Caenorhabditis elegans: one gene and its partners. The protein of the gene in region 2 purifies or fractionates together with the protein of the main gene of each other region. This does not show direct contact. Each region holds a gene or a part of one and is shown on either strand. Other genes may lie near its edges.

Region 1 (6,346 bases), on a different chromosome or scaffold from region 2:
CCGGCGCTGAGATTCACATTCCTCTTTTGTAACGTCCGATGACGTGGCATTTATGAAAAACAAAATTCTACAGTAATCCTACAGTAACCTTACATTTATGATATTACGGTAGGCCAATGGTACTACAGGGCCACGATCCTATATGGTTACGGTAGGCAACGGCTACTCTAGGTACCTATTTATACAGTTTCAGGTCGTGGCTCTACAGTATCATTAGCCTACAGTAGCCCTACCGTATACCTACAGTACCCCTACAGTACCACTACAGAACCTTGACATGATCCCCCACCAACTTCCAACCCAACACCTCTTCTATAGACAAAAGCTAAAATTTCCCAAGCTACAGTAACCCTACGGTATACCTACAGTACTACTAAACCATCACACACATCACAGAACTGGCAGAATATATGAACCTTAAACTACAGTAATCCTACAGTAGCCAGAATCGTAACCCTAAGCCTACTACAGTACCCCCGCAATGTTACAGTACTCCACAGTAACCCTAGCCTACTAAAAAAAATATAAAAAAAAGTACTAGTCCACATCTGTATAGTAATATTTTATTTCCAAAATTAAAAAAATCAATTTTTACCAACAAACTCACCCATAATCATAAAAATCGCAGAGCCCTGAAAATCTAGGTGTCAGATAGAAATTGATAATCGACGTGGCAAACAGTAAAGTGAACAGCGTCAGAAAAAACACGCAGATTTTCAAAATTTCCCAGGATTTTTTGACTTTCGGGTGCATTTTTCCTGGAAAAGTAGGGAAAGTGAAAGCTTGAGCAAAATTGAAACTTTTTGCGGGGTGAATTCTTGACAAAAGGAGGAGGAGTACGGGGTAAACGGATTGTTTTGTGGATTGTGTGAACCCGCCGGCAAATTCGATTTTAGGTTGGGATTTCTTGGGAAACCTTTTTTTTCAGGAAAAAGGAGAAGGCTAATGCTTTTCAATATCTAAAATATCCATTTCACGTTTGAAAGATGATCTGCAGATACTGTAGATAGATTTTAGAAACTGTAGAATAACTGTAGTTTGACATAAACGGTATGCTGCAGGAAGGTACAGTTGCTAGAAGTACGATGTGGGAACTGTATGGGTACGTTACGGGTACTGTAGGGGTACTGTAGTCATGCTGTGGGAGCAATGTAGGGGTATCATAGGTGTACTGTATGATTACTGTACTGCAGGGTACTGTAGGGGTACTGTAGTCATACTGTAAGGGTAATATAGGGGTACTGTTGGCTTACTGTACTGCAGGGTACCGTAGGGGTACTGTAGGTGTATTATATGGGTACTGTAGGGGTGATTTTAATGCAAAAAACATTTAAAACCTCTGAAGTTGGGAAAAAATCTACAAAGAGACTACAATTTCACATGAAAAATTAACAAAACTCGAAACTTTCTGTAATTTCCACTGATTGAGCTCTACGTGGCCGTGAGATGTAAAGAACTCGGCCACCAATTTTGTATTGTTTTTTTATTAAAAAAAAAACTTCACAATTGAATATTGGAACAAAAACGGTCAGAATTATCAACAATATAATTATTATCCAGAAGGCCTTCAACACGAAAAACCTCGTAGTGGTGGTTGATGGAGGGCTCCAGGTGCAGTTGCCAGCCGTCTAAAAATTAATTTTAATTTTGACACGAAAATCGAGAAATTTAAATGAAAAAAGTTTTTTAAAAATTGAATTTTGTTGATTTTCACCCAAAAATTTCTAAATTTTCATATGCAATCAGTGGGAAAAATGAATTTTTCTGGTTTTTTCTCAATATTTCTCCATTTCAAACCTTCTTTCAACACGCCATTCCGGGAATTCCGCGCGTAAAAAACCCGCTTCACACGAAAATGCACCAAAGCCATTGAGCACATTGCACAGGGCTCCGTGATGAGGAAAACGTCGGATCCGGTGCCAAGATAGTCATCGCCGTGTCTTTTCGGCAGATTTCCAACCATTTCCATTACCGGGTGGCCGAGTGGATGGGAAGACGGGCGGCCCGTGGAGAGGAGCTCGTCGTTCTGGAATTTTTTGGATTTTTTGGATTTTTCAGGCGGTGCAAATTACCTGCACAGCTATACAACCATCCCCCAGCCGAGCAGCTTCGCCGAGCCATCGATCCACGTATTTTTTCAGCGATTCTGTGAGAAAAGAGCCGTCTAGAAGTTGCTCGAGCTCATGATTCGGGTGAAATCCTGTTGGCCAGAGCTCCTTAGCCACTTGGAATTGCCGTCGGGTCTGTGGCTTGGTTCTCGCGACTTTTACTGGCTGAAAATTGAAAAATTAGGAATTTTCAGATTTTTTTTGATTTTCTACCACTAAATCTTCCACCCGAGCTTCTGCGTCCTCCAACTTTCCCACGATAAGCTTTGCGACTTCCTCCGACTCTGCTATCAGCACACTTCCGTCTTTTCCGACTCTTTTCAAGTGTGAAAGCTCTTCTGGAAGTTCTGGAAGTCGCCTGATAATCTGAAAATATAGAATTTCGACTAATTTTGGGGAAAGGGTAAGTTTCCCTACTGTCCCAATAATTTTCTTGTTTTCAAGTCGTAAAGCTTGGAAGGAAGTCGATGGGATTGTGTCGCAAGTGAGAGTTGAATCCAGAATTGGGTAGACTTTAATTCTGGAATTTTGTTGTTGTTTTTGAGGATTTTTGAGGATTTTTATTTCAAAAATGGTTTTTACGGCTTACCTCATCGTATCGATTTTTCTAATTTTTTCCGGAGGCTCTTCCAGTGACATTTTCCTTGCAAATCTGAAAAAAAACTGTTTAAAAATAGATAAAACGGCAAAAATTAAATAAATAAATCCAAAAAATAAATATGGAAAAAAGTGTGCGGCGGCATTGCCTGCCTCCGCCCCGCCCACATTTCCGCGCCGCACCCGAATCATGTGCATTTTGCAGCTGTTTATTTATTTTTAATCCCGTCACTTTTATCAATTTTCGTCGGTTTTTCCGAGATTTCTCACATTTTTTCAATTCTCAATCTTCTTTCCACCTTATTTCATCGATTTATTGCGAAAATTCCAGAAGAAAATGGGCAACAATCAGTCTGGAGGGCCCGACGCCCGCTATGGAGGCCCAAACGACAAGGCGGGCCTCCGAAGGCATCGGATGATGAGCGAAACGGCAAAAATCGCCGGACAAGTACTCCCGAACCCGGATGGAGGACCGCCGATGATTTTTGATGTGAGATTTTCACAAAAAATCCCAAAAATTCCTTTTTTAAATTATTTTTCAATATTTTCAGGACGGAAATGAGGACAAATCCGGCGAATGCCCAGTGGTATTCCGCTGGAGTTTCACACAAAACGCACAGCCACGTGTCGTCCATATCGTTGGATCATGGGATAACTGGCAGACGCGGATCCCGATGGTAAAGTCGACAAACGACTTTTCGACAATCATCGACCTGCAACCCGGACAATACGAGTACAAATTCCAAGTGGACGGCTCGTGGGTCGTCGACGATAATCAGGGAAAGGCACAGGACGTTCATGGAAATGAGAACAATATGATCAATATTCAAGACTCGGATTTTGCAGTTTTCGAAGCGCTGGATGAAGACTTCCAGTCATCTACAGCCGGGGAGGTGCTCCGTGGCGAGTCGGAGAGCACCAAGAATCATGATACTCCGAATGACAGGTGAGAAAACTTCAGAAATGTTCACTAAAAAACTAAAAAAAACTTTTTCAGAGAGCTCGAAAAACTGCGCTCCTTCACCCAAGAGATCCCATCAATGGATATGCTTCGGAAGGCAGCCGGACCACCAGTAATTCCACCACAACTCATGCAGGTGCTTCTCAACAAGGAGACGCCCGAGTCATGCGATCCGAATGTGCTGCCGGAGCCGAATCATGTGATGCTCAACCACATGTACGCGCTCTCCATCAAGGACAGCGTTATGGTGCTCTCATCGACGCAACGCTATCGCAAGAAGTTCGTCACCACTCTTCTCTACAAGCCTGTCTAACTGTTTTTCTTGTTTTGTGGGGTTTTTTGTTGAAAAAAATCGAAAAAAATGCCCTGACTAATCAGCGATTAGCTCCGCCCACTATTGAACCAATCATACTGCGGTACGGTTTTTCCTATTTTTAATTCAAAATTTCTTGATTTCGCTCGATTATATTCTTTTAAAAAAAGTGTTTTTAACTATTTTTAAATAGAAATCTACCATTTTTCCCAAAATATAGCCTTTTTTGTCTCTATTTCTGAAAAAAATTAAGCAAAACGACATAAACTTATCGTTTTGCATCATCTTTTTTCAGGAATAAAGACAAAAATTGTTGTTTTCCGTTGCAAAATTCGGGGAAAAAAACCGAAAAAAAATCGATTAAACACAAAAAGACAGCAAAAACCGCGCCATGGGGTTGTGATTGGTTGAAAAGTGGGCGGAGCTAAGCCCTGATTGGTCGTGCTTCAAAATTGAAAAATCTCGATTTTTTTGGATTTTTTGTAGAAAAATCTTGATTTTTCAAGCTCCCGAGACCAAAGTTCCAAAATTTTCTCCCACTCTTTAGTTTTTGTATTATAGTCGCCTCTTTTTCCCCCATTAATTTTCTTTCTGTTCTATTTCCAATAGTGTTTTAAGAAACGAAAAACGTCGTAGCCAACTCTTATTTAATACGGTCTGCCCCCTTGGAACCCACTTTTACCACACTACCAATCAGCTGAGTGTATATACCAATTCTCAATGTTTCCCTGCCCCTTTTCTTCTTCTTCTACTTCCAACAGCTTTATTTTTCCTATTTTTCTCGTATTTTTCTTGGGCTTTCATGTAGGCGACCTCCGCCTGCCTCCCGCCAAAAATTCACGTCAAAACGCAGAGAATAGGCAAAAGTGAGGCGGACAGGTTTCAGGCAGACGTCTGAAACCGCGCCTGCCTACCATGGAAGCCCTAATTTTTGAAATCAGTTTCTTTTAAAAAATCCACTGTGAATAATTTGACATTCCAATTTGTTCACCATCTCCCTCGTTTCTTGTTTTTTTTTCCACTTTCTTTTTTGATTTTTTTTTATTTTTTTCGCCTCAAAAAAGATTCTGTCTCGTAGTTTTCTGTCCCTTTAATACATTTTTCATCGATTTTTCCCCTTTTGCTGGCTTGAGCTACAGTAGCCGTTTCGCACGGTACTTGTATATCTATGTTTGTGTGTGTTTTTTTTTAATTGAAAATTGTGCTCGCCCACGCTTGATGCTTTTAGTGCTTTTTAATCATTTTTTAGCTGAAAATCTTCGTCATTTGACTCTGTAACTGCGAATTTCGATTTTTTGCGACAAAAATAGGGATTTTTAGCTAAAAAATCCCACGTTTAGTCGTTTTTTTTAGGAAAAAATTCACCAAAACTAAATTTGCACTGAAAATAAACTTCAAAATGCGGATTTTTAGGCCAAAAAATAATAAAATCAATGATTTTCTGATCAAAAAAATCGATTTCAGAGCGGAAATTTGCCTGAAACTCGTAAAATGTATACCAAAATCGAAATTTAACTAAAAATCCACATAAAAATGCAGATTTTAATCTAAAAATCGTTCAAATTACCTTTTTGTCAGTAGAAAATCGAATTTTCATTGAAAAAACCGATTTCAGAGCGAAAAACCATAAAATTCCCTACAAAAAACGGGCTTTTGCAAGCTAAAAATTCGATTTTTAGCCGATTTTCTAGTGAAAATCACTCTATTTTCATGTTTTTCACTGAGATTTTGAGCATTTTCACTTTTAATTCGATTAGTTTCCACACATTTTGGCAACAAAAAAGAAAAAAGCCAGCGTTATTTGTTTATTTTCGAACATTTTTCGCCTCGTTTTTACTTTTTTTTTCGTTCTGTTTTCTGTTTTTCCTCGTGTCGCGAAGCAATTGTTTTTGTTTTTTTCGGTCTCTTTCAGTTGACTTTTCCTTCTCCTCTGCCACCAGCCAACAACAACAAATATGCCAAAGAGAACTGGATTTCGATGTGTTATTTTCATCGTTTTTTCGCTGAAATTCGCCGTTTTGAGCTCGAAAAATGAATTTTTGGAGAAAAAAAGCTTTAAAAAATTAGCAAAAAATTGAAAACCTTGAAAAATTGCCAAAAACAGAGGTTTTTGACTCAATTTTTCGAGTTAAAATGATTAAAACTTGCCAAAAAATCAGATTTTAACTTGAAATTAGGAAAAACTTATATTTTAAAGTCAAAACTTGACTTTAAAATATCAATTCTAAATAATTTTAAGCTAAAATCTAGTTGAAACGCAAGTTTTAAATGTTTAAATTCAAAAATTGATTCGAAAAACTCAATTTTTGACTATTTTCCAAGGTTGTCAAATTTTTTTGCTAATTTTTTAGCGAAAAAAAGTGGAAG
Region 2 (8,716 bases):
GACTGCAGTTGTTTCAAGATTCCTAAGATTTGAGCCGTGACCGAGCTCAGTTTGCGCATAACATCCAATGATCTCTCGTCGCCGAGCTCTCTCGAGCCATTTCTCCTGCTGTTCATCACTAGCCTGTGACTGAAGGGTTGGAATAAACAAAGCGTCATGGAGAGCGAAGGGATGACCCTCGTAGCCAATCACTTCTCTGGAAAGTGGGAATTTACCTGATTGTGAGAAAAGTTTAAAGGAAAAGTGGCAAACATTTGAGGTTTATTTTTTCAAAATTTTTCATGGAAGCTCTTGACGGAAATCGGTAGGCGCTAGCATATACTTCAGAACAAAGTTGCAAGCAAGCAGATAAACAATACTGTACCAGTTAACAAATTTTCTATAAACCTAAATAAAACCGACGTATGAGACAATTAAGTGAGATCTACCAAATCACACTGAATTTGAAAAGAAAATCCTTACCGATGCAGGTGCAAACTTTCTTCTTCATTATCTCTATCAATCAGCTGATTCAGATATTTTGTCAAAATCGATATTTTTCTGGTGCCCTCGGTCACCTTCTCCTCTCGAGTCAAAAATGGATAGGGCTTGATGTCGGCGAGCTCAGGGATCTTGGACACGGCGTCGGTGATCTCACGACGGCGACGAGCGAACTGAACAAATAATTTTCTATGTATTAAGACAGTTTTTTTTTCATTTAATAAGTTGACAATTAATTATTTCAAAAAAAAATGCAATCAACCAAAGTGAGGCACCAAAGTTTGAATCATTCGAAACATGGTGCATCGACGGGGATAATTTCCCTCATAAACTATGATAGTTCATTTCCCTGTTTCTTTACTGTCCAAAATCTTGATACATATGTATGTTCATGGTTTGCTGAAACCTTTACACACTACTAGAAACATTGACTTTTGCACTTTCCTGCTGATTGACAGAATATGTATTTCGTTTTATGGTCTCTATCTCTCAGAAAAAATAGTGGCTATCTAATCTTACCTAATAAAAAAAATTTTTCCGACAAAGGGAAAACGACGAAAATTGATTTTTGTGGAATTACAGGGATTTTATTGTTCAATGCCACGTGGTGGAACATGTCGTTCTAACTGATTAAGTTATACGGTGCGAAACATACATGGTCTCCACTTAAGGTATACAATATTTTTCAAGAACATGTATGTATACATTCCATTGTGCTTTAAAACATTATAAAATTTCAGCTTTGATAACTCTTGATTCATACTAAAATTATGTATAATCTGATTTTCTATTAGCCTAATAAAGCTTGTAATCAATAGTTTGTAGTTTGCAGTCCTTACCTCTTCACTTCCATAGATCACCGCTGCCATCTTATCCGTATCAAAAGTTGCCATCCTCCGTTCTTCCAGCAATTCGGGGTTATCTCCATCACGAATTGATCGGTTCGCCATGTTACTGATATCAACAAAAAAGAAGAATGGATGGATGAACTGATGGAAAGGGTATAAAAGGAGTGATGGGCGGAGTTGTGATTATTGGCCTGTACTATTTATAAGTGCAATGTTTGCATTTTCAAATATTTAACAGTATAAGCAAAGAGTATGCAAGAGAAAAAAAAATCAAAAATATAAATTAGAATTATAGCTTGCTCTGCCTGGCTTTTTCCATCATTGGCTTCAAATATGTATCCACTGACGGAAGAACATCTGTCTTGTTCAACGGACTTTCCTTTGCCCACTTGAAAAGGTTCTCGTAGACATGACCATCACGGCGGCCTAGGACCTGAAATTTCAGTTATTTAATTTTAGAACCCATTAGCTTTGGAACTTACAGATCTCAGCTCTCTATCACTAAACTCCCAGGAATCTAGCAATGAAACTGCGTTTGGTCGAATTTTCTGGAGATAGAAGTACAATTGATCTCTGACATAATCCAACTGAGTGGATGACATGAATCCATCTTCCAGTGCATACGTGGCAACATCCAAAAGTTCATAGTTGACGTGAAGATGGAGGAGATCGCTGAGAGCCTCTTTGATGGTGATATCTCCGATTTCGTTGACTCGTCTGGCAAAGGCTTCGACGATGAAGAGGCGGGTGTGGAGGCGACTCGCCTAGAAATATATACTTTTCGGACTTTTAATTTTAAGAGTGTCGCTTTTGTTACAATGTCTTAAGCTAGTGTGTTCAGAATCTTTAGTCATCTTTAACTTTAAATACGGCTCTGGTATCTAGTATGCACCCTAATATAGAGCCCAAAAAAGGTTTCGGATTTACAAAATTCTACCAGATTTCACCAGTTTTTGCTACATAGCAAATGCACTTTTCCAACATTTTGGTGTTTGAACTAATTTTCCTAGTAAGGTTGCAGGGACAACTGATAAGAATTCAATGATTGTTGACAAATATTGATAAACAAGCTCAAAAGTGCATCTAAAGTTTTGCAGGTTTTGCATTTTCTGCAAGGAAATGGGCAAATGGACATCAAGGCCACAATGTACCATCACTCGTATTCTCAAAAATCACAAGCATAAGTCAAACATACCCTATTCAACTCCACGGATGACTTGTTCCAGGCGATTTCTCTCTTTTCTCCATTCTCCATTAATCCGAAGAACTTGTTGGCAGCCTTCAACGTCTGTCTCTTTGCGATATGTTGGAATGTCTTGATGTATTCCGTGATTCCACCATTTGGAACTCTATCTATCAGGCTAGTTGGCTCACTTCTGGCGCCCAAGTAGGCTACCAGTGGTCCAAGCTGAGAAGCTTTTCCGGACTTCACAAGGGCAGCGGATTTGACGAGGTAACGAGCGAGTTGAAGAAGCATAACCATATTTTCTCCTTCATACGTGCATCCTCCAATTGCAACTCCGTAGATTTCAGAGATGTAACTAGCCTGAAACATTCCTTTAGAATTTGCAATTTCAATTATAACATTCCTACCATAGAATATCCATGCCCACCACAAGCCATTCTCGCTTGTTCGATACCTTCTCCAGTTTGATGAGTAACAACTGATTTTAAACCAGAAGTCAATGCATGTAAGTCAGCCATAAGAGACACATTTCCAGATTTCATCTCCTTGAGTACTCGTTCGTAAAGCTTCACGGTCTCGGCACCAGCAAACTGGAAAGCGTAGGCACGGGCGATGAATGGGAAGAGACGGTGCTGCTGGGTTTGGTACTCGAGCACTTTTACCTCTGGTTCACTGGAAAGAGGATAAGTGAGGATGGGGTTTGCAAGTAATTAAGTTTCTCGTAATTCGCACGTGGTGTCAAAGTGTCCCATTTTGGTTTGTTCTACGAAAAATGCGGGAGAAGAGATGCAGATTTTTCAACTGATTTTGCGTGATGACGTCACATTTTCCTGGGGGAAAATTCCCGCATTTTTTGTTGATCAAACGTAACATTTTTCGTAACATTTACGTTGTATTGTTTAACAGGCGTAATTCATATCGTAGTTCGTAATTCGTAACAGTAACAAAACTGAGAAGTTATGTAAGTTGTGAGTGGCACAGCGAAGTCTGTTATTTACGGAACTTCTATATATAAAGGTAATAGACGTACTACATAGGTATGCACATAAAAGTATTGATGTATAGTTATAGTTATGATCATTCTTACTAAAGACGAATCTATTTTCAAGCCATGAAATAAGCTTTTTAGTTATGAAAAATATATTTAGAGATAGCTCAACCCAAGAAATTCAACCTATAACCCTTTTTTATTTTACTAATAGTAGTTGGTATTCTTCAGATCTTATTCATAAAAGTTCCAACTTACTTTTTATCAATCTGCCCCTGTCTTCTCACTGCCGAGTATCTTGTTGCAATATTCAACGCATACGACAACATAATCGCCTGTCCAGTAAGCATATAACTTCTCACATGTACCATTGCAGAGTAATTGATCTTTGCATGTGGTGGTTTGATATAAGTCCCGTCAGCCTCTACTTTGGTATGTCTCATCAAAAGATTCGTTCTTGGGATACGGTAGTTGTTGAAGCCTAGGAATCCATTGTCTACAATATTATAAGCCATTTTTGGTCCAATATCTCCAATTGTAATCCCTGGAAGTGGTTTGTGAGTTTTCTCGTCTCTCAATGGAACCATGAAGGTATGTGGTCCAAAGTTCTTTCCCTTTATATACATATGTGCAACTACAACTGCATAGTTGCTGCTTTTTCCAAGATTCCCTGGCCACCACTTCAATGCGGTGATCTTTGGAGTGTGAAGCACAAACTCCTGAGTTCCAATGTCATAAGTAGCAGTTGTTTCCAGATTTTGAAGATTTGTGCCATGACCCATTTCAGTTTGGGCGTAGGTTCCGATGATTTCTCGTCGGAGCGCTCGAATGAGCCACTTGGCTTGCTGCTCATCACTAGCTTGAGCGTTGAGGGCTGGAATGAACATCACACCGTGAAGAGCCATAGGATTTCCTTCGATTCCGAGAACTTCGCTGGAAAATTATTGATTTTCTGGGAAAATGCTCAGTTTGAAGAGCTCTTTCATTATTAAACTTGTATTTTTGTATTATTCTACTTTGATTTTTGATATGATAAACTAAAGTACAGTGAGCGTAACTTCTTTAGAATCGCCCTTAATCTGGATGGTTTCGCACGTAAAAAAAAAATGAAAGTTCGGCGATGTTTTCAAAAATCTCATGAGATCCCAAAGAATTGCTTTTCCTTATTTTTACGTTATCATAATAAAATTTTTGTACCAAAAACTATTTCATATGCTGAATCTGATTTCTAAATTAATTTTCCATGTAATTTTAGGAAAAATCCTAAGCCTGTCAAACGAAGGGTATTAGTCCAAGAAAAAAGTCCACTTACTTGTTCAAATGATACAACTCGCCTGCATCAGTTGGATCAATGATCTCTGACATTCTTTGTGTCAAAACCGTCAGTTTCCTAGCACTTTCCATAATTTTCTCCTCTCTTGTCATATACGGAAGTGGCATCGAGTCATGGAGCTCTGGGATTTCTGCAAGCTTCGCGGTGATCTCACGACGACGACGGGCGCGCTGGAAACATTAGAGACAGTTATTCAAATATTCCATTTTGACTAGATAGCTTACCATTTCTCCCCCATAAATCTGTGCAGCCATCGCATGAGTATCAAATGTTGCCGTCAAGCGTTCGGCAGTGAGATCCGGGTTATCACCCTCCTGAATTGTTTTGTTGAGATGCACCATACTAAAACTGACAAAGTTTTAAAAATTTGAAAAAAAAACATATGTGGTTGAAATTGATAAGTACGAAGTACTACAAAGTTAAAAAATATCAATAAGTTGTACGAAAATTGAAACTCTTGGCTCGAATCTAACGCAGCGGTTCAAAAAGTATTACACCTGCCATGACAGTTAAAACTTAGACTTATAAAAATGCATCTACAAAAAAAAGAGGAAATACGGTATCTTAGTGAAACTTAAATATATGAAAAAATGAATTACAGAAGCTGCATGTAATTGGCAAGAGCTTCAGATCAGTTTCTTCGAGAGCTTGATCTTATTTTTAGCCTATTTTTTATATTATATCTCAGTTTAATTTGGAAATACCGTATCTACATTACACAACTATAGTTACTGTAAAAAAAGATCTGTTAGATTACATATTTCGTCTCATATCCCAGTTAGGGCACTGTTAGCAGAAAAGTTGTAAAAAATATACAAAAAAGTATTTCTTATCAAAAAGAAGCCTGTCTAGAAAAAGAGCTCATAAATCGTTCAACTTAACACCTGCAATACTAACAATTTGAAAAAAAAACCACTGAATATAAATTCAGTTTTTCTACCTGCCTCTGCACTCAATTTAAATGATAAGAAGACGAGAGAATGATCATCAAAACCAAAAGAGAAATAGAAGACGAAAGGAGGAGGTGATAACTCTCTTATCACCACACCACATTGTACCGTCCATTTTCCAATCATTTATGTCCATTGACTACAGTGTAGTCACGGAACGTGATATTGAAAATTGCATGGGAAGGGGGAATTGGAAGAAGTCATGTAACATGTAGGCTATATTGTGACTCTCATAGTCAGAATTTTGAACCAGTGAATTGACAAAAAGTGATAACATTAGAAAAGGGGGATAAAAATTATGTAGGCAGAGAAAGTGATGTATTCTGTGTGGAAGAAACTGTGATCTTTTGATAAAATTTCTCAAAGTTGAAGTCAGTTTAATCATCAGCTAGTTTAATATTATTTTGTAATTAACGAAGAAATCGCGTCTGTTGGGATTTTTGTTCTGAAGTTGGTCGGTTTATTATCGGATTTTTGTTTTATTCTGTTCTGCTCTTGATCAATAAACGTTACCTTAAAATTGACCTCATTTGTACATTCCGGTATTTTTTAAAAATTTCATATCGGTTAGCTTTGTGAAAAGCTGGATATCCAGTAATAGTATTAAAATACATTTATTGTTAATGAAATATTAAATGAATGTAAACATGCTGAGATGTTCTACTTTGAGTGGAGTAATGATGATTATGAAAAGTTCCTTTTAAAATTTAATGCTGAACTCATCCGGAGGAGTGTCATAGATAGCCGCTTGATTTTGAGTCCTAGAAGCATCGCGGAGTGCCAACTCGTCTGAAAGTAACTTTATTTGAAAACCATATTTAGAAATCAGGCACGTGCTCCTGCCTGCCTAGGTGCCTGTATACATTCTAATACCGGTGCCGTCTGAGGAAAATTAAAACAAACATCTGAGTCTCTGAACCTCCTCTCGATTTTCATCAGCTTCTCGTCTCACATGCTGGAATTCCCCGTGCATTTCTTTTAAACGGTTTTCATAATGTTCAATTCGGGTGCGGGCCTGAAAAACCGGGAAAATGTTTTTACTGTGACTATTCCTCTTTGTTGAACTTATAGTACATGACTCTAACTCTAGGCATAACTGGTGTCACCAATTTCTTGAGATTAATCGAACCCTGTCATGAAATTGAACCTAAAGCTGTTCAAAAATATTTACGCGGTAAACTAAAATTTGAATGAATGTGCTACTTTTTAGAAAAGTTTCACTTATTTTTCCCACTTCTACGTGTGTTCACTGAATCGCTATAACATTACTGTTGTATAAAGAATCTCACCTCTTCTGCTGGTGTTACTGTTTCAGTCAGTTTCTTGGATTCTCCAATTAGATATGTTTGATAAGATTCAAGATCTGACTGTGTAAAAAAGTTAGGTGCATGCAATGGAAATGTTGGAATTTGAACAAAACATCTAAAATACTGATGTTTTGAGCACTCTTCGTAGAATTGTTTAGTTTTCTCGAAAATTGTCTGAAATCGGGAACGATAGCCTTCCAATTCGTGTGGCGACACGTTACTGTGCAGATTGTACATCATTCTGACGATATAAATAAAGAATGGCCAGGTATCCATTATTACACTTATCAGAGGAAGCATCAGGCATTGACCTTGTGGAGTATTAGGATCCCATCGTGGAGATGAGTTGGACAATAGATATACTGAAATGCACCAATAAGTGTCAAAGGTGTGGCAATTGAGTTTTTGAATCCCCATGTAATTCCAAAGACGATTCAAATACGCGTTACCACTCAATAAGTATAATTATCATATATATATATACAGTCCACGTTTCAGGCCCTCTGGTGCCATTGGCACTCCATGGATCTGCGAATTGGGGCAAAATTGTTCTATGGTTGTAGGAAAAGCTACTGTGCACCGAAATTCACTCAAATTTATTAATGTGCTGTTCAACTTCTTCTCAAAAATTGTAAATTTTTGAAAAATCATCAAAAAATCGAGGGTGGCGTATAGAAGTTGTACGGCCAATTTTTCGATTTATTGAACATTGTTTTAATTATTGAGGTAAGGTCATGAAAATTTGGGCCTATACGTTTTTTAAGATTTGGAATCGAATGGCATCAACAGAAATTTTTTTAAAAGCACAGACGTGGCCACAGGCATAAATTTAGAGGGTGGCGTATAGAACTTGTACGCACTGTATATATATACCAGCCGTTCGCACGCGCTGAAGCGCGTGCTCCGACTGGCGTACTCAAAATTGAAATCAAATTCTAAATTTTCTAAGCCTTCTTTGCAGATGGAACGTTTTTTCCTGTTTTCCGGAAATTTTCGAGCAACATAAATATTATATAACTAAGTTCTGAGCAATTACAACTTAAAACCTCAATTTTTCCTGGAACTATTTCTAAATTTCTTGAACGTATAATTTTCTCTACGTTCTTCAAATCATATGAAACATTTTCCGGTCCTTTCCGAAAGTTTTTGGCGAGAATATAAATATTATTTTCAGATGGAACAAACTTTTTTCTACACTTCTATATCTATTTTAGATTTAAAAAAAAGTTAGATTATCATAAAAATTACCGCACATCCCAGAATATTGCTGCCAAAAGCGGGTATTCCGGGATAGAGAAAATACCTACTCGTGAGAAATTGTGAGTACACAGAGTAAAACCGCGACTTTTCTACCATAGAAGCTTTACCAACCTTTCTCCTGGAATGCCAAAAGTGAGTCCATCTGATGCATCATATCACCAGTTAATCTCAACATTCTGCTCAGATCTCTTCCCATTGTATCAAGTTGTAAAGGGCTCACAAACAGATTTCCAGGAAAATATGGACGTTTGTGGTGGAAAATGACTCGATCGTGTAATAACTTGCAATATGCGTCAATGCATGGCCCATAGTCCCTCTTATCCTTCCAATGAAGAGCAAGTTGCGTGAATCGCTTTTCATTTCT
Region 3 (6,089 bases), on a different chromosome or scaffold from region 2:
ATTTAGGAGCGGTTGCGGTTCTCAATATGAGCGAGTTGCTGCAGTACAGTCGAATCAAATACGAGTGCACCTGTGGAAAATTTCGAACCCTTCCGGACCTTGTTTTCTGCCGATATTGCTTCAAAATTAAGTAAGTTTTTTTAATGGGTAATTGTCTAAAAATAATTGAAAAAAAAAATTAACCAACTTTTCCAGGTGTGATGACTGTAGCTTGGGAGAAGTTGACAATATTTTCTGTCCTCGATGCCTTGAACCATCAAGCGTCCCTGAAGCAAGACTTAAAAAGCATAAATGCGCAAGTTGCAATGATTGTCCTAAGTGTGGTATGATTTATCCACTATTTTGTAAATATATTTGAATATTTTCAGCTAACGTTCTGAGTGCTCGTACAGAAAATGATAATGTATATTTGGTTTGTCAGTACTGTCGTTGGTCTTCAAGAGAAGCGAATCAAGAAGATCAAGAGAATACTAAATCCTGGCCAACGTATGACTAACTGTAAATATGATCTTATGACATTTTATTTATACAGAAAAGAAAATCCATTGGTTAATCAACTTGGTGAGGTGACGGCATACATGAAGAGACTTGAATTGATTGAAAATGCTCCAAAAGATTTGAAAAAGGGAAAATCGGGCAAAGCCTGGACTGCTTTTCACTTGAAAGACAAGTTTGGATTTCAACAAATGGTAGATAAGCGGAAAAAAGCACTGGCTCCTGAAATGAATCCAGTTGATGCACATGCTCCAACAGAAGCGCCGACTCTTGAAGATGAGATTAAAGAAAGAACGGATGATCTGAGAACTCTCGATCAAATCATAATGCAACCATTGATCAATATCTCTGAGCCACTCCTTCCTGTACAAGTTCCTCTGGCTGGAAGAGTTCAAGTTCGATGTGATGAGTGCGAAAGAACTCTTATCAAACGAGACTTCGGAGTTACTACCTTTAAATTTAAAATTTCGGTGAGTAGCTCATTCAACAATAATGTAAAAAGTTTAAATTTCAGTCATTTGCCCGTCAATTTGTTCCTGACATCAGAATGTCTCGACCGGTTGATGATCTTAAAGTTGGGGAGACATCACACGTATTTCTCTCTATTACCAACTTATCATCATCTGCAATGGATTTGACTATCGCACCTCAATCTGGAAATGGTTTCATTCAATGTTCCAGTGATCCAATCCAGCTTCTTCTTCCATCATCGCGAGCATCGGATACTGCTGCTCCTGGAGTTCATGCTGACCAAAGGTTAGTTTTTTCTTGTTTTTAATTGACTAAAAATGGTATTCCAGTGACGTCATCGTGTTCCGACAGCACAACCGAGTTGGCCTTCGACTGGATGTTATTCCCACCGAGATGGATCTCTCTTCTCCATGTCTCAATCTTTTGATTACATATTGTCAGGATGGATCGTTCCGTCTCTCCTCCGCTAGTGACAAAATATTGAAACCAGAAGAAACGTGTCCTGATCCAATTCTCTCTGCTAATTTAAAAGTAGATCTCAGATAATCATTTCATGTATATTTGTTTCTATCCTTTCTCTACCACAGCGTGTCTTTTCTTAAACATAATTTATAAGCTTTGTTAAATATTTAGAAGACGTTTTTATGCTTTAAATTAAATACTTTAAAATTCAACATTCAAACATCCCAACAACAAATAAACATGATCGAGAAAATCAAAAATCAATATTCTGGCAAGATGGAGTATTTTGATGACCTGGAGCTGGCTCATCAAATGCAGGTGGAAGATGCATCACTCGAATTTGGAAACCTTTTCTGGAACTTGCTTCAAAAATAAGATCGAGAATCGGTGGAGTGTGTGTTCCAACGGACATCAATCGGGGCAAACTCTTCAAATGGAAGTATCCATGAGCAGTGCCAAGATGTTTGAACATTTTCTTCTCATTTTCATCAAACGGCATCAGTTGAATATGTGTATCAGCTGCGGATTCCAGTATACGCCAAGTTGGTTTCGGAACTCTGAAGGAGTTAGCCGTGATGTATACAATCATGTAACTCGAACGAGCTAAAGATCGGAGACAGCACAGGAATCGGCCAAGGAACTTGTAATCTTCACAAATTTCCATATCGATATTCTTCAGAACCACTCGAAGAAGATTCTTTTTCGGTCCACCTGAAGTAAAATTCATTAGTTTATGTATAATAATTCAATAAAAATCTCACCTCTTCCGCCGGATTTTGTGTGAGCTTCATTTTCTTTTACAATTTGGCAGAGCGTCTCGTAAATCCCTTTTAGCGTAAAAACTTTCTCCGCATACACGTCAACATTCGGATTCTCTACATGCTTCGTAAAGTCATACTGATTTTCGTTGCTTAATGGTCCAAGGGAAGAGGAAACTTGTTTTACATTTCCATACCGCCACGCAATTTTCATCGAGTTTTCATTTTCTGCCGGCAGAGAATTTGGAATTTCTTGATTTTGCATATCCGTGGATGTTCTTCTAGATGGTATGAGATTGATCTCTTTGGGATCTTCCGTGGGATCCGCAATGAAGCATCGATGACCATGATGAAGTCCTTCTGCGAGGAATGAACGAATGAGATAAGATCCATAGCAACGAGAACGATACTCGTCTGAAAATGAATGTGATTTTAATTTTAGGTTAGCGGGTATTTAATGAACAGGTAGCAACTAAATTAATAAATTACCTATGAGAACAATACTTGAATTAACTAAAGCTCCTCCAATGAGTGTGTCAAATGAATCGCAACCACTTGAAGTTTCCAGTAAGCGTTTCTTTGTTGAACATCCGGCAATTTGAACACTATCACCAACGTTCAACATTCTGAAATTACTTTAAAAATATGAAATATTGATGTTGACCAGGAAATTACGATAAAAATATTTGCAAGGTTATTACCAAACCATAATGTAATTTGAGAAACAGAAAAGAAAAATGAGATTTAAACAAACTAATTATTATTTCTAAAAACAAAAATAGGGTTCTAACTAAAAAATATATAAAGAAACCCGCAATAAAACAATATGAATTATTATCAGACTACTCCAATCTTTTTTCGATCGTCTCCACTCAATTGCAGCTCCTTTCTGAGAGCTTCGCGAGCATCCATTTCCTGGCGTCGACCCATTACCACCTGAGATTTCACTGTTACAAACGCACCGAATCCGACAAGAATAATGATTAGGTAAGCCATCCATGTATTACGATGATTTTTATCGAGGTCATGTCGGCCGACAAGCTGGAAATCAATTTAAATCAGTTTTTAGAATATTCTTCAGTATATATAATTTACCTCTGATCGATAAGCCCATTTCACTTTCTGTCCTTGTATTGTCATTTCGCGATTTTTTTCTGCGCTTTTAATACGAATTTGTTCTTCAAGTAAGTCCATGTTTCTGAAAATTGTTGATTAAAAACTTGAAGGTTTAAAAAAGCATAATCTTACGTAATATCTCTCTGATCTTTAGTTCTGTGAAGCTTTGGATTTTTCACAGGAAGAGTACAGAGATATCGTTCAGTAGGAATACGTTGGATAATGCGAAGCATCTTAAAAAGGAAATTCAAAATAATTTTATAAAATTAATTTCCTCAAAAAAGAGGCCCCACGAAAAGGGGAGCAGAACGAAAAGGGGATCTGCAAAAAGGGGATCTGCGAAAAGGGGAGATACGAAAAGGGGAGATACGAAAAGGGGAGCAACGAAAAGGGGAGCTGGCACTGTGCCAAACGCACAAAACGCAATTTTTCTCACGCAACGCACGTTGATTTTTGAAATTTTCTTCTAGAAGATACGCTTAACAACACGCGACGCGTAACATCGGAGCATCGTTGTATCGTTTTCTTCGAGAAAAATAGCGTTTGGCACAGTGTCAGATCCCCTTTTCGTTGCTCCCCTTTTCGTATCTCCCCTTTTCGTATCTCCCCTTTTCGCAGATCCCCTTTTTTCAGATCCCCTTTTCGTTCTGCTCCCCTTTTCGTGGGGCCTCAAAAAAAAAGATTGTTGAAACTACGAGACTCCGAAATGACGGGCGCGCATGTTGTTTATCGTAAATAATCTAGCTTTTCGCCGCTAATTTTAACATTGTTTTTTTTTCTCATTTTAATTATTTTTTAGTAACTTTTTATCGTATGTTTCATTCTTTTTATATATTAAAATTTGTACATAAATAGGAATCTTAAGTTATTATAAATTAGATTCGTTTTCTATCGTCCTTTTTAGTAGAATATCCATAAAATGTTGCTGCAAGTGCCTGTGCAGGAAGTACATGGGCATATTCTTCAAGCCATTCTGTAAAGTTGAAATCATCCATTGCAATTCTAGCCAAATCTTTCTGTGTCCACGTGTCATTCTGCTCATAGAGCGCAAGAATCATGGTGTGCATTCCTTAAATTTTGTGTTTAAGATTACGAAAAAATATATTCGAGCTTACCAACTGGTCTATCAGTAGAATCTGGGGGTTGATAAGACACAGCAGACTTTGTTCTTCTATGAATCTCAAGCTGTCCATCAAATGCCGCAATATTTGCAACCAGCCAAGTGACAGCCTTTGAGGTAGCATCTGTCAATAACAATGCTTATTATACCTGTAATTAACTGTAGCAAAAAAACCTGCAAGTATAATTGTATAGAGCTTCTCGTCTTGAAGTTCAACTCCTGCTGACATGACTGGAGGATCTGCAAGTTTGTCCAGTATATCAGCGTCGAAAAGTTGACCCATCGATATTTGTTCGTCGCTAAAGGTTGCCTACAATCAAGTTGTTTAGTATTATATTCATCATTTAACATACAATTAGTTCATATGCCGGAGCAACTGGCAACAGACGAGGGACAATTCGATTCTCTCGGAATGCTGTAATAATATTATGTCCTTATTCTTTTATCTCAGCCACCTACTGTGTTCTGGTTCTCTGTATTCTAATGTTCTGTTAGGTTTGCAGCAAAGTTTAACCGAATCATCTCCGAGACTTCCCAGACATCGGTATCCACGTGGGCATTGCGAATCAACTGAATTCCCACATGGCAAGAGAAGAGTCTCATAGAACTTTGGACATGCTGAAAGAAGAATATTAGATCGTACCGGAAGTATGAGAGATACGTGCGGTCTCTTTGACACGTGGCGGGAGGAAGACGGCAATGTGTCAAAGAGATCGTCGCGTCAACTCACTCGGGATGTCGGCATCTTTCTTGTCCTCACAGCAGACATATTTCTGACTTCTTAATGAGTATTGGCATACCGCATTTCTTCCTGTTGGACAATCCTGTAATTGGTTCTGATTATTGAACTCTTCATAAAATAGACCTACGTGTTCTTCTGGATGGCATTCGATAGCTCTCGATGGTATTCTTAATGTTGGTTTACTCATTAACGGTTGTTGCCAAGGGCGAACACAATCCGAATTGGACCATCCTTTGACGAGGTGTGAATCTAGAATTTTCACTGTAAACACAGCCTAACTTTGAATTTCAATCTTACTGTATCTAGCACATAATCCTGCTGCGGGGAGAAGTAGCATAATAAAAACCGTGTTGAGCATGTTATCGATAGCTGGCAAAAAACAAATAAGGAAGACGGCTATGAAATGTAGCATTTCTCGGTGATTTATATACCGCGGAGCCCATGGTCGCACCTCGAGCAGGAAGCGTTTGTTTATATTTACGTGCCAATCCAAATCCGCTCGCAAACATGATGCCCAACACATTCTTGTTGACCAAACTTGGAATATGAAATCGATTTCCAAAAAAAAACTCGGCGTTATCTGACGGTTCTCATGGGTACTAGGATAGACAAAGAAAGGGTGTGAACGCAGGGAAATATCTTTTTAATCTGCCGATAATTACTGACCATTCTGTAGTTTCTCTTGTGTGCTCAATCTTTAGATCTTTGGAAAAAGTGAAGAGTGTATGAAGGCGAAGTGGGTGTGTAATACCAAGTAACCTGTATCTAACAGTAAATAGTTTTTTAATCGATTCTGTAATTGTTTGAAAGTCAACAGTATCTCCAATGTACCGTACCATGATGTTTCACAGGTGTCTTTACAAGTTGAAAATGTAGGTCAAAGAAGGTGATTCGTGAGTGAAGGTGGAGATTGGTGCACCTGCAA

What was found.
Region 1: the proteins of acox-1.1 (region 2) and Y47D3A.14 fractionate together in Caenorhabditis elegans (co-fractionation; one large-scale study listed by BioGRID). This does not show direct contact.
Region 3: the proteins of acox-1.1 (region 2) and elpc-4 fractionate together in Caenorhabditis elegans (co-fractionation; one large-scale study listed by BioGRID). This does not show direct contact.

What each region holds. Positions count from the first base shown.
Region 1 is NC_003281.10:11,234,109-11,240,454, forward strand, and holds Y47D3A.14 (CMP/dCMP-type deaminase domain-containing protein), read right to left. Parts: upstream 2,761-6,346; 5' UTR 2,748-2,760; coding exon 2,698-2,747; intron 2,629-2,697; coding exon 2,526-2,628; intron 2,475-2,525; coding exon 2,322-2,474; intron 2,274-2,321; coding exon 2,073-2,273; intron 2,027-2,072; coding exon 1,798-2,026; intron 1,629-1,797; coding exon 1,501-1,628; 3' UTR 1,473-1,500; downstream 1-1,472. Other genes in the region: Y47D3A.34 (AcidPPc domain-containing protein), read right to left, coding at 1-67, 608-753; aakb-2 (Association with the SNF1 complex (ASC) domain-containing protein), read left to right, coding at 3,043-3,195, 3,257-3,651, 3,703-3,979.
Region 2 is NC_003279.8:12,935,022-12,943,737, reverse strand, and holds acox-1.1 (Acyl-coenzyme A oxidase acox-1.1), read right to left. Parts: upstream 5,184-8,716; 5' UTR 5,177-5,183; coding exon 5,060-5,176; intron 5,006-5,059; coding exon 4,815-5,005; exon of another isoform or gene 4,436-4,814; coding exon 3,761-4,435; intron 3,187-3,760; coding exon 2,922-3,186; intron 2,875-2,921; coding exon 2,524-2,874; intron 2,093-2,523; coding exon 1,811-2,092; intron 1,762-1,810; coding exon 1,618-1,761; 3' UTR 1,514-1,617; downstream 1-1,513. Other genes in the region: Acyl-coenzyme A oxidase acox-1.2, read right to left, coding at 1-196, 463-653, 1,320-1,430; tag-138 (ENTH domain-containing protein), read right to left, coding at 6,486-6,574, 6,689-6,800, 7,075-7,454, 8,464-8,716. UniProt on the Caenorhabditis elegans protein: Involved in the first step of peroxisomal beta-oxidation by catalyzing the desaturation of fatty acid-derived side chains.
Region 3 is NC_003282.8:8,013,726-8,019,814, reverse strand, and holds elpc-4 (Elongator complex protein 4), read right to left. Parts: upstream 2,822-6,089; 5' UTR 2,812-2,821; coding exon 2,676-2,811; intron 2,601-2,675; coding exon 2,190-2,600; intron 2,140-2,189; coding exon 1,682-2,139; 3' UTR 1,594-1,681; downstream 1-1,593. Other genes in the region: dnc-4 (Dynactin subunit 4), read left to right, coding at 27-130, 196-323, 369-486, 533-965, 1,010-1,251, 1,296-1,512; C26B2.7 (Cytochrome c oxidase assembly protein COX20, mitochondrial), read right to left, coding at 3,024-3,227, 3,282-3,384, 3,435-3,535; C26B2.8 (C3H1-type domain-containing protein), read right to left, coding at 4,178-4,371, 4,418-4,546, 4,597-4,732, 4,776-4,837, 4,882-5,040, 5,153-5,246, 5,292-5,413, 5,462-5,522.